2 linked regions of the Xenopus tropicalis genome follow. The protein of the gene in region 1 interacts with the protein of each later gene in a biochemical or structural test. Links are inferred from orthologs where the notes say so. Each region holds a gene or a part of one and is shown on either strand. Other genes may lie near its edges. The genes, in order: mmp2 and timp4.

Evidence for each region.
Region 2: the proteins of mmp2 (region 1) and timp4 form a complex in vitro, tested with the Homo sapiens proteins (2 studies listed by BioGRID). The link is inferred for Xenopus tropicalis from reciprocal best matches to the Homo sapiens genes MMP2 and TIMP4.

The regions. Positions count from the first base shown.
Region 1 is NC_030680.2:42,698,194-42,702,020, forward strand, and holds part of mmp2 (72 kDa type IV collagenase precursor), read left to right. Parts: intron 1-3,140; coding exon 3,141-3,367; intron 3,368-3,456; coding exon 3,457-3,605; intron 3,606-3,827.
Region 2 is NC_030680.2:151,124,989-151,129,521, reverse strand, and holds the start of timp4 (metalloproteinase inhibitor 4), read right to left. Parts: upstream 3,089-4,533; 5' UTR 2,956-3,088; coding exon 2,832-2,955; intron 1-2,831. UniProt on the Homo sapiens protein: Complexes with metalloproteinases (such as collagenases) and irreversibly inactivates them by binding to their catalytic zinc cofactor. Known to act on MMP-1, MMP-2, MMP-3, MMP-7 and MMP-9.

The sequences.
Region 1 (3,827 bases):
AAGAAATTAAAGCAAAGGGCCACAAATGACAGACAGTAGTGGTACTTTACTAATAACTCTAATCCAAATTGGAAAAGTACTAAAATAACTGTTAAAGGGGTGGTTCACCGTTAAGTTAACATTTAGTATCTTATAGAATGGCCAATTCTAAGCAATTTTTCAATAGGTCTTCCTTATTTTTTTATAGTTTTTAAATTATTTGCTTTCCTCTCCAGCTTTCAAATGGGGGTCACTGACCCCAGAAGCCAAAAATGGTTGCTCTGTAAGGCTACAATTTTACTGTTGTTTCTTTCTTTTTATTACTTTTTTTTTATTTAGATTTTCGCCTATTCATATTGCATTCTCTCATTATAACCACTCCCTGGTTGCTAAGGAATTTGTACCCTAGCAACCAGTTAGTTGCTGAAATTCTAAACTGGAGAGCTGCTAAACAAAAACTGGAATCATTAAAAAACTAAAAAAAAAAATTTCAAAATTGTCTCAGAATATTGGTCTTCCCATCATACTTAACTTAACTCCAAAGTGAACAAGCGAAAAAATACTACATTACCTGATTTACCTACTTTACACCTTCTTCACACTGCAAAGACCCACATGGTGAAGGTCTTCTCAGCCTCCACTGCATTTCAAATACATTACCTTAGTAGAAGAAGTAAGAAAATTAGAGAAAATAACTCATGTAATACACAATAAATGTAAAGATTACTGGAATATATGGGAATCATGGCTCACCCTTATACAGGCCAGGAAAAATAAGGCCTCTCTCACATAAATGGAACTTCCACTTCCCCAAACTTAGAAACACAGGCCCTAGCCCAGAAATGAAGGAATATTAGATTTCAGGATTCAAAATACTGCTATGTAGTGTATAGATGTAAACTTGTTAAGTTGCTGATGTATGTTATAAGACTGTTTTCACCCTCTACCCCCCTCTTGCTTTCTTTAAACTTGAATATACATGAAAAAGATTACCAAAGTTGCAAGGTTGCAGGTTGTGACTTCAACATCAATACAGTGCATACAGATCATGGAAGTCATTTGCTAAATGTAGTGGTTTTTATGAAATGTTGCAAATGCTTGCATTTTACAGCATTTTATCTCCCACATGCCATTAGATACCAAGACAAAACATTATTATTAAGAATGCCAGGGGTCTTCTGAAAAGTTTGATGTCCAGTATATATAGTAGATAATACAACACTGTGGCATGCCAAAATGAAATATTCCTTCTGCATACAAATGTCACGACTTATATTTACTACAGCAAAATATATTTCTTGTTTAATTTCCTATTTACATTTTGCTTTATTAATTGATTTTAATTAAATCTTTGACAGATATCTCAAAGATTGGATTTTATAGTGTCTTATTTTCCATGTCATTAACTACCTAAATACAATATCATATATATATAAATGGCAGGGGTTTGATGCCAAGCATAGCATCTCCAAAGTATCTAGCATGTAGAGTACAGACCCCAAAATAAAAATAGTGAATATGCCTTTTTATGCCTGACACATTGAAATAAAAAATGGGTACACATCTCTTATTGTTCCAAAAATGCAAAACTATCCAAGGAGAAGAAAAGGTAAAATCTCTGGGTGTCAAAATGTTGTGCACCCCCTTAGTGATTGTAATTGCTTACCTTACTCCAGGTTGGTGCTCCTGGTGCAGTTTTCTCCTAACAGGGGCACCAGACAAGGGTATAAGGTGAGCAATTACAATCACTGGGGGGTGCCTAACATTAGAAAAAGTGATTAGGAAAAGAATGGGAAAGCCATAGGTTTTTAAACATTTTTTTTTTTTTAAAACATTTTTAACATTTTAGATATCTAATCTAAGTAAGCCTGTAAGCCTTGAAAACATTCTACCTTCTAGGTTCATATGCCCTCTACATACTAGGGGCAATAAATATATGGAGCACACACTTCACGGGGATATTTAATTTGATACATCAATATGATTCTTTCGTGTCAGTCACTGAACAGAATCAAATACATAATAACATAATAGGTTAGCTTGAAATAAGACACACGTCTATCAAGTTCAGCCTTTTACATCTTCATGAAACCTGCCAAATTGTTGATCCAGAGGAAGGCAAAAAAACCCTTCTGAAGTTTCTCCAATTCACCTCAAAGAGGGAAAAAATTCCTTTCTGGCTCCAAGATGGCAATCGGACAAGTCCCTGGATCAACTTGTAATAAGAGCTATTTTTAATAACCCTGTATTCCCTCACTTGCTAAAAAAACCATTCCAAACCTTCTTGAAGCTAACTAATGTATATCCCAGCAGTTTCTGCGTGTCTTTTTTCTGCTTAGTTAAAGCTAGTTTTTGTTTTTCCTGTGTTTAGCATATGAGCATAAAGCTTCTCATGCTGCAATGGTGTCCAGTAGGCACCAAAAAACTATATTTATAAATATATATATATATATAAAGTCAAATTGTGTGTCCGCACTCTAAACTAGTTTGGGTGCTAGGTCAAAACATGTAAATACATACAGGACCAGCACCAGGTCACATCAATATTTTCTCTTTATTCACTGTGGATCGCACAATTAACAATTAAATATATATAGTACACAGGGAGGAGCACACACACCCTATACAAGTCCAAATGCCCTTGGTGCAGGTCAAAAACAAAAATATTATAGAAAGAGTGCCGCACACACAGGGACTTGATACAAAAGAAAAAGTGTTTTTATTGAAATAAAATCCATTTTTTTCAATAAAAACACCTTTTTCTTTTGTATCGAGTCCCTGTAAGTGCAGCACTATTTCTATTTTTTATATATATATCTATATATATATACACATAGGTGGGGTTGTGGGAGCACTCCAAGGCTAAAAAAAGTATACAAATACAATGGTGCGACTGATCTGGCCAAATTAACTACAAGCATACAAAAAGGAGAGGAGGATTGATCAATGCACATTCCCTGGCCCCCCCTAAATTATCTATGCTAGTGCATGTATTTACAAAAAAACAGGGGTTTTTAGTTACAAAATTATGATCATAAGATTGGTAAGCCACCATATGTCAAGGTATATATAGGATAGAAAGTTCAAGTTAGATACATACCAGACAGAATGTTGTTCTGTAAAAATATATTTGGTCTTACTTACTGAATTTTTTTTTACAGCAATACCTAAATCAATTTTATGGCTGCCCTAAGGATAAATGTCACATGATGGTTCTTAAGGATGCCCTTAAGAAAATGCAAAAATTCTTTGGTCTTACTGAAACTGGGGAGTTTGATCAAAATACCATTGAAACCATGAAAAAGCCAAGATGTGGAAACCCTGATGTAGCCAACTACAACTTCTTCCCCAGAAAACCCAAATGGGACAAAAATCAGCTGACATACAGGCAAGTTTTTTTCTTTCCTATATATATATCTGTTAACATAGATTTGTATTTAATAATTCTGCTTTGCTTATTTTATTTTTAATTCCTAGGATTATTGGATACACAACAGATTTGGATTCTGAAACAGTTGATGATGCTTTTGCACGTGCTTTTAAAGTTTGGAGTGATGTCACACCACTGGAGTTTACCCGAATTCATGATGGAGAAGCAGATATCATGATCAATTTTGGACGATGGGGTATCATCTTATATGAAATAAAAATAAAAGGGCTCATTCAGGGCCACAAGTGCAAAGTGTAAAGTGCAATTTTGAGCACAAGTTGCCATTTCTTTTTACTAACAATACACAATTTTCCCCATAACACCAGCATGATTGTGTCTGCCAGGGGTAGTTGTACTTTGTCAGTTGCACTAATATGCTCACAATTGCACTTCAGTGTGATTTGGACAAAATTGTGCT
Region 2 (4,533 bases), about 110 Mb from region 1:
ATCCCCAGCCCATTTGCACAGACAGAACTAATTCCCAGTACCAGTATAATCCCCAGCCCATTGGCTCAGACAGAACTAGTTCCCCAGTACCAGTATAATCCCCAGCCCATTGGCTCAGCAGAACTAGTTCCCCAGTACCAGTATAATCCCCAGCCCATTGGCTCAGCAGAACTAGTTCCCCAGTACCAGTATAATCCCCAGCCCATTTGCCCAGACAGAGCTAATTCCCAGTACCAGTATAATCCCCAGCCCATTGGCTCAGACAGAACTAGTTCCCCAGTACCAGTATAATCCCCAGCCCATTTGCCCAGACAGAGCTAATTCCCAGTACCAGTATAATCCCCAGCCCATTGGCTCAGCAGAACTAGTTCCCCAGTACCAGTATAATCCCCAGCCCATTGGCTCAGCAGAACTAGTTCCCCAGTACCAGTATAATCCCCAGCCCATTTGCCCAGACAGAGCTAATTCCCAGTACCAGTATAATCCCCAGCCCATTGGCTCAGACAGAACTAGTTCCCCAGTACCAGTATAATCCCCAGCCCATTTGCCCAGACAGAGCTAATTCCCAGTACCAGTATAATCCCCAGCCCATTGGCTCAGACAGAACTAGTTCCCCAGTACCAGTATAATCCCCAGCCCATTGGCTCAGCAGAACTAGTTCCCCAGTACCAGTATAATCCCCAGCCCTTTGGCTCAGACAGAACTAGTTCCCCAGTACCAGTATAATCCCCAGCCCTTTGGCTCAGACAGAACTAGTTCCCCAGTACCAGTATAATCCCCAGCCCATTGGCTCAGCAGAACTAGTTTTCCAGTACCAGTATAATCCCCAGCCCATTGGCTCAGCAGAACTAGTTTTCCAGTACCAGTATAATCCCCAGCCCACTGGCTCAGCAGAACTAGTTTTCCAGTACCAGTATAATCCCCAGCCCATTGGCTCAGCAGAACTAGTTTTCCAGTACCAGTATAATCCCCAGCCCATTGGCTCAGACAGAACTAGTTCTCCAGTACCAGTATAATCCCCAACCCATTGGCTCAGACAGAACTAGTTCTCCAGTACCAGTATAATCCCCAACCCATTGGCTCAGCAGAATTAGTTCACCAGTACCAGTATAATCCCCAACCCATTGGCTCAGACAGAACTAGTTCTCCAGTACCAGTATAATCCCCAACCCATTGGCTCAGCAGAATTAGTTCTCCAGTACCAGTATAATCCCCAGCCCATTGGCTCAGCAGAACTAGTTTTCCAGTACCAGTATAATCCCCAGCCCATTGGCTCAGACAGAACTAGTTCTCCAGTACCAGTATAATCCCCAACCCATTGGCTCAGACAGAACTAGTTCTCCAGTACCAGTATAATCCCCAACCCATTGGCTCAGACAGAACTAGTTCTCCAGTACCAGTATAATCCCCAACCCATTGGCTCAGCAGAATTAGTTCTCCAGTACCAGTATAATCCCCAACCCATTGGCTCAGACAGAACTAGTTCTCCAGTACCAGTATAATCCCCAACCCATTGGCTCAGTAGAATTAGTTCTCCAGTACCAGTATAATCCCCAACCCATTGGCTCAGCAGAATTAGTTCACCAGTACCAGTATAATCCCCAACCCATTGGCTCAGACAGAACTAGTTCTCCAGTACCAGTATAATCCCCAACCCATTGGCTCAGCAGAATTAGTTCTCCAGTACCAGTATAATCCCCAGCCCATTGGCTCAGCAGAACTAGTTTTCCAGTACCAGTATAATCCCCAGCCCATTGGCTCAGACAGAACTAGTTCTCCAGTACCAGTATAATCCCCAACCCATTGGCTCAGACAGAACTAGTTCTCCAGTACCAGTATAATCCCCAACCCATTGGCTCAGCAGAATTAGTTCTCCAGTACCAGTATAATCCCCAACCCATTGGCTCAGACAGAACTAGTTCTCCAGTACCAGTATAATCCCCAACCCATTGGCTCAGTAGAATTAGTTCTCCAGTACCAGTATAATCCCCAGCCCATTGGCTCAGCAGAACTAGTTTTCCAGTACCAGTATAATCCCCAGCCCATTGGCTCAGCAGAACTAGTTTTCCAGTACCAGTATAATCCCCAGCCCATTGGCTCAGACAGAACTAGTTCTCCAGTACCAGTATAATCCCCAACCCATTGGCTCAGACAGAACTAGTTCTCCAGTACCAGTATAATCCCCAACCCATTGGCTCAGACAGAACTAGTTCCCCAGTACCAGTATAATCCCCAACCCATTGGCTCAGCAGAATTAGTTCTCCAGTACCAGTATAATCCCCAGCCCATTGGCTCAGACAGAACTAGTTCTCTAGTACCAGTATAATCCCCAGCACCCAGATCCTCTGGAGTTTGGGTTATTTAGTTCTGATATTGATTATCACACAGAAGAGAGGATGGGTTGGTCTGAGCAAAGTTCAGCTTCTGTCACTGAGTTTTATTCCTAGTTATTTCTCCAGAATCCGGTTCTGGTTCTGACAGCCTGGGAAAATCCACACAAACAAAACAGCACAAATCTTACAGTCATGATATACTTCTTGTTTAAATGGAAGGGGGGGGGGGGTCTTAGCCTTAAAATTTAGACAGAGTTATACAGATATCTATCTTACCATCATCTTATTATATATCTGCTCAATACCTCTCCAGTCTCCTGCTATGTTGCTGAGGTCAGTGTCCATAGCAACCACATTGCTGTTCCTTATTTAAAACCCAAAACATAGAAAAGAAAGACCAACATTACACTAAAAGTTAATTTAGGCTGCACCTTCCCAATCATCTTCATCATTCTTGCTGGGAACAAGTGATATTCAGTTTAATTGTAGTTAACTCACCAATTGCCGCATCGCAGATCTGTTCCTGTGGGTGGGAAGGGGCACAGGTACAGCCTCTCACTGACTCAGGTGCTCCAAGGGTTAAAAGGAGTGCAAGCCACAAGCTGGGCAATGAGGCTCCCATAGTGGCCACATCCAGTGCTGGGGCAGTTCCCTCCCGCGTCCCCCCAGAGACAATGTCAGCTTGGCTGGGAAGGTCCCTCAGTGCTGCGGCCGCTCCAGCCTGATGCTCCCTGACTTCTAATTTGTGCTACATAAAACCTTCTTTTTCTTATGGCTTCAGCTCTCTAGCCCCTCCCTCGGGGAGCCCTGTGCACCAATCAGAGGGCACAGCCAGGGTGCCAATCACTCCCCGCTAGTAATTCTATTCAACACTTCTTGGCAAATGTAGTTTTCTTAGTGCTAGGGGCAACACAAACCCTTTGTTCACTCACATAAGAACATTCACCCGCTGAAGCTGCTCTTTAGCTATTGCTGGACTACAAGTCCCAGAATTCCCTCCTAGCTTTAGCACTCAGCTCCCAGCATCCTGCTGAAAGGTGGCAAATGATCATTTAGATCTTTATTTTGAACACACACAGAGAGGATAATCTCCCCCATATTGCCATTTATAAGGCTATTAGAAGTCACAGAGGAGGCTCTGGTTTAGTTAAAACTAATCTCTAGTTTAGTTGGGGGACTATTATATAAAATTCTTCAAAATTCATGTGTCCTGCACAACTCCCAGCACCTTTCATCTTATGCACATTACCCTTCTCCCCTGCGGGTCTCCCTGCACTACAATGTGCATCCTTAGGCACTAACATGGGGGTGCAGTTAAAGCTGCAGCGATACTGGCGTCTTGTTGCCCTTGGCAACAATGTGTTTTGTTTCTCATTGCCCTGAGGCAGTAGTTTCCAGTGACATTAACTGTTAGTATTTTATACTTAGATTGTAAGCTCTACGGGGCAGGGACCTCCTTCCTACTGTGTCTCATACCACATGGCACTTATTCCCTGTGCATTAATATTTATTGTATTTATTTATTATAACACTTGTCCTCCCTGTATGTAATTTTGTATTTTGTAAGATTATACAGCGCTGCGTACCCTTGTGGCGCTTTATAAATAAAGTTATACATACATACATACATGCACACATACATACATACATACATACATACATGCATACATGCACACATACATACATACATACATACATGCACACATACATACATACATACATACATACATACATGCATACATACACACATACATACATACATACACACATACATACATACATACATGCACACATACATACATACACACATACATACACACATACAATGGCCTGTTTGTAGCAACTGTTCACTTGGTCTTCATTTTTTTAAAATATTTACCTTTCTGTCTTACCCCATTCCACCTTTTAATGGGGGTCACTGACCCAGCAACTCATCTTTTTATTGTCTCATTCACACCGCTGCCATATTGCTAGGGCAAACTGGACCCTAGCAACCAGACAAAAATTCTAAAAAACTAAATACTGAAGACCAACTGCAAATCATCTGGGAATATCACTGCCTGCATGATTTGAACAGTTAATATAAAAGTGACAGGGAAAATATAAGAGAAAGGAAATGGTTCTGTACAGGGTCGGACTGGGAAAAATCCTGGTGGGCCCCGACTCTAATGGGCCTCGGCGGCCCGGACAAGACCCTTGC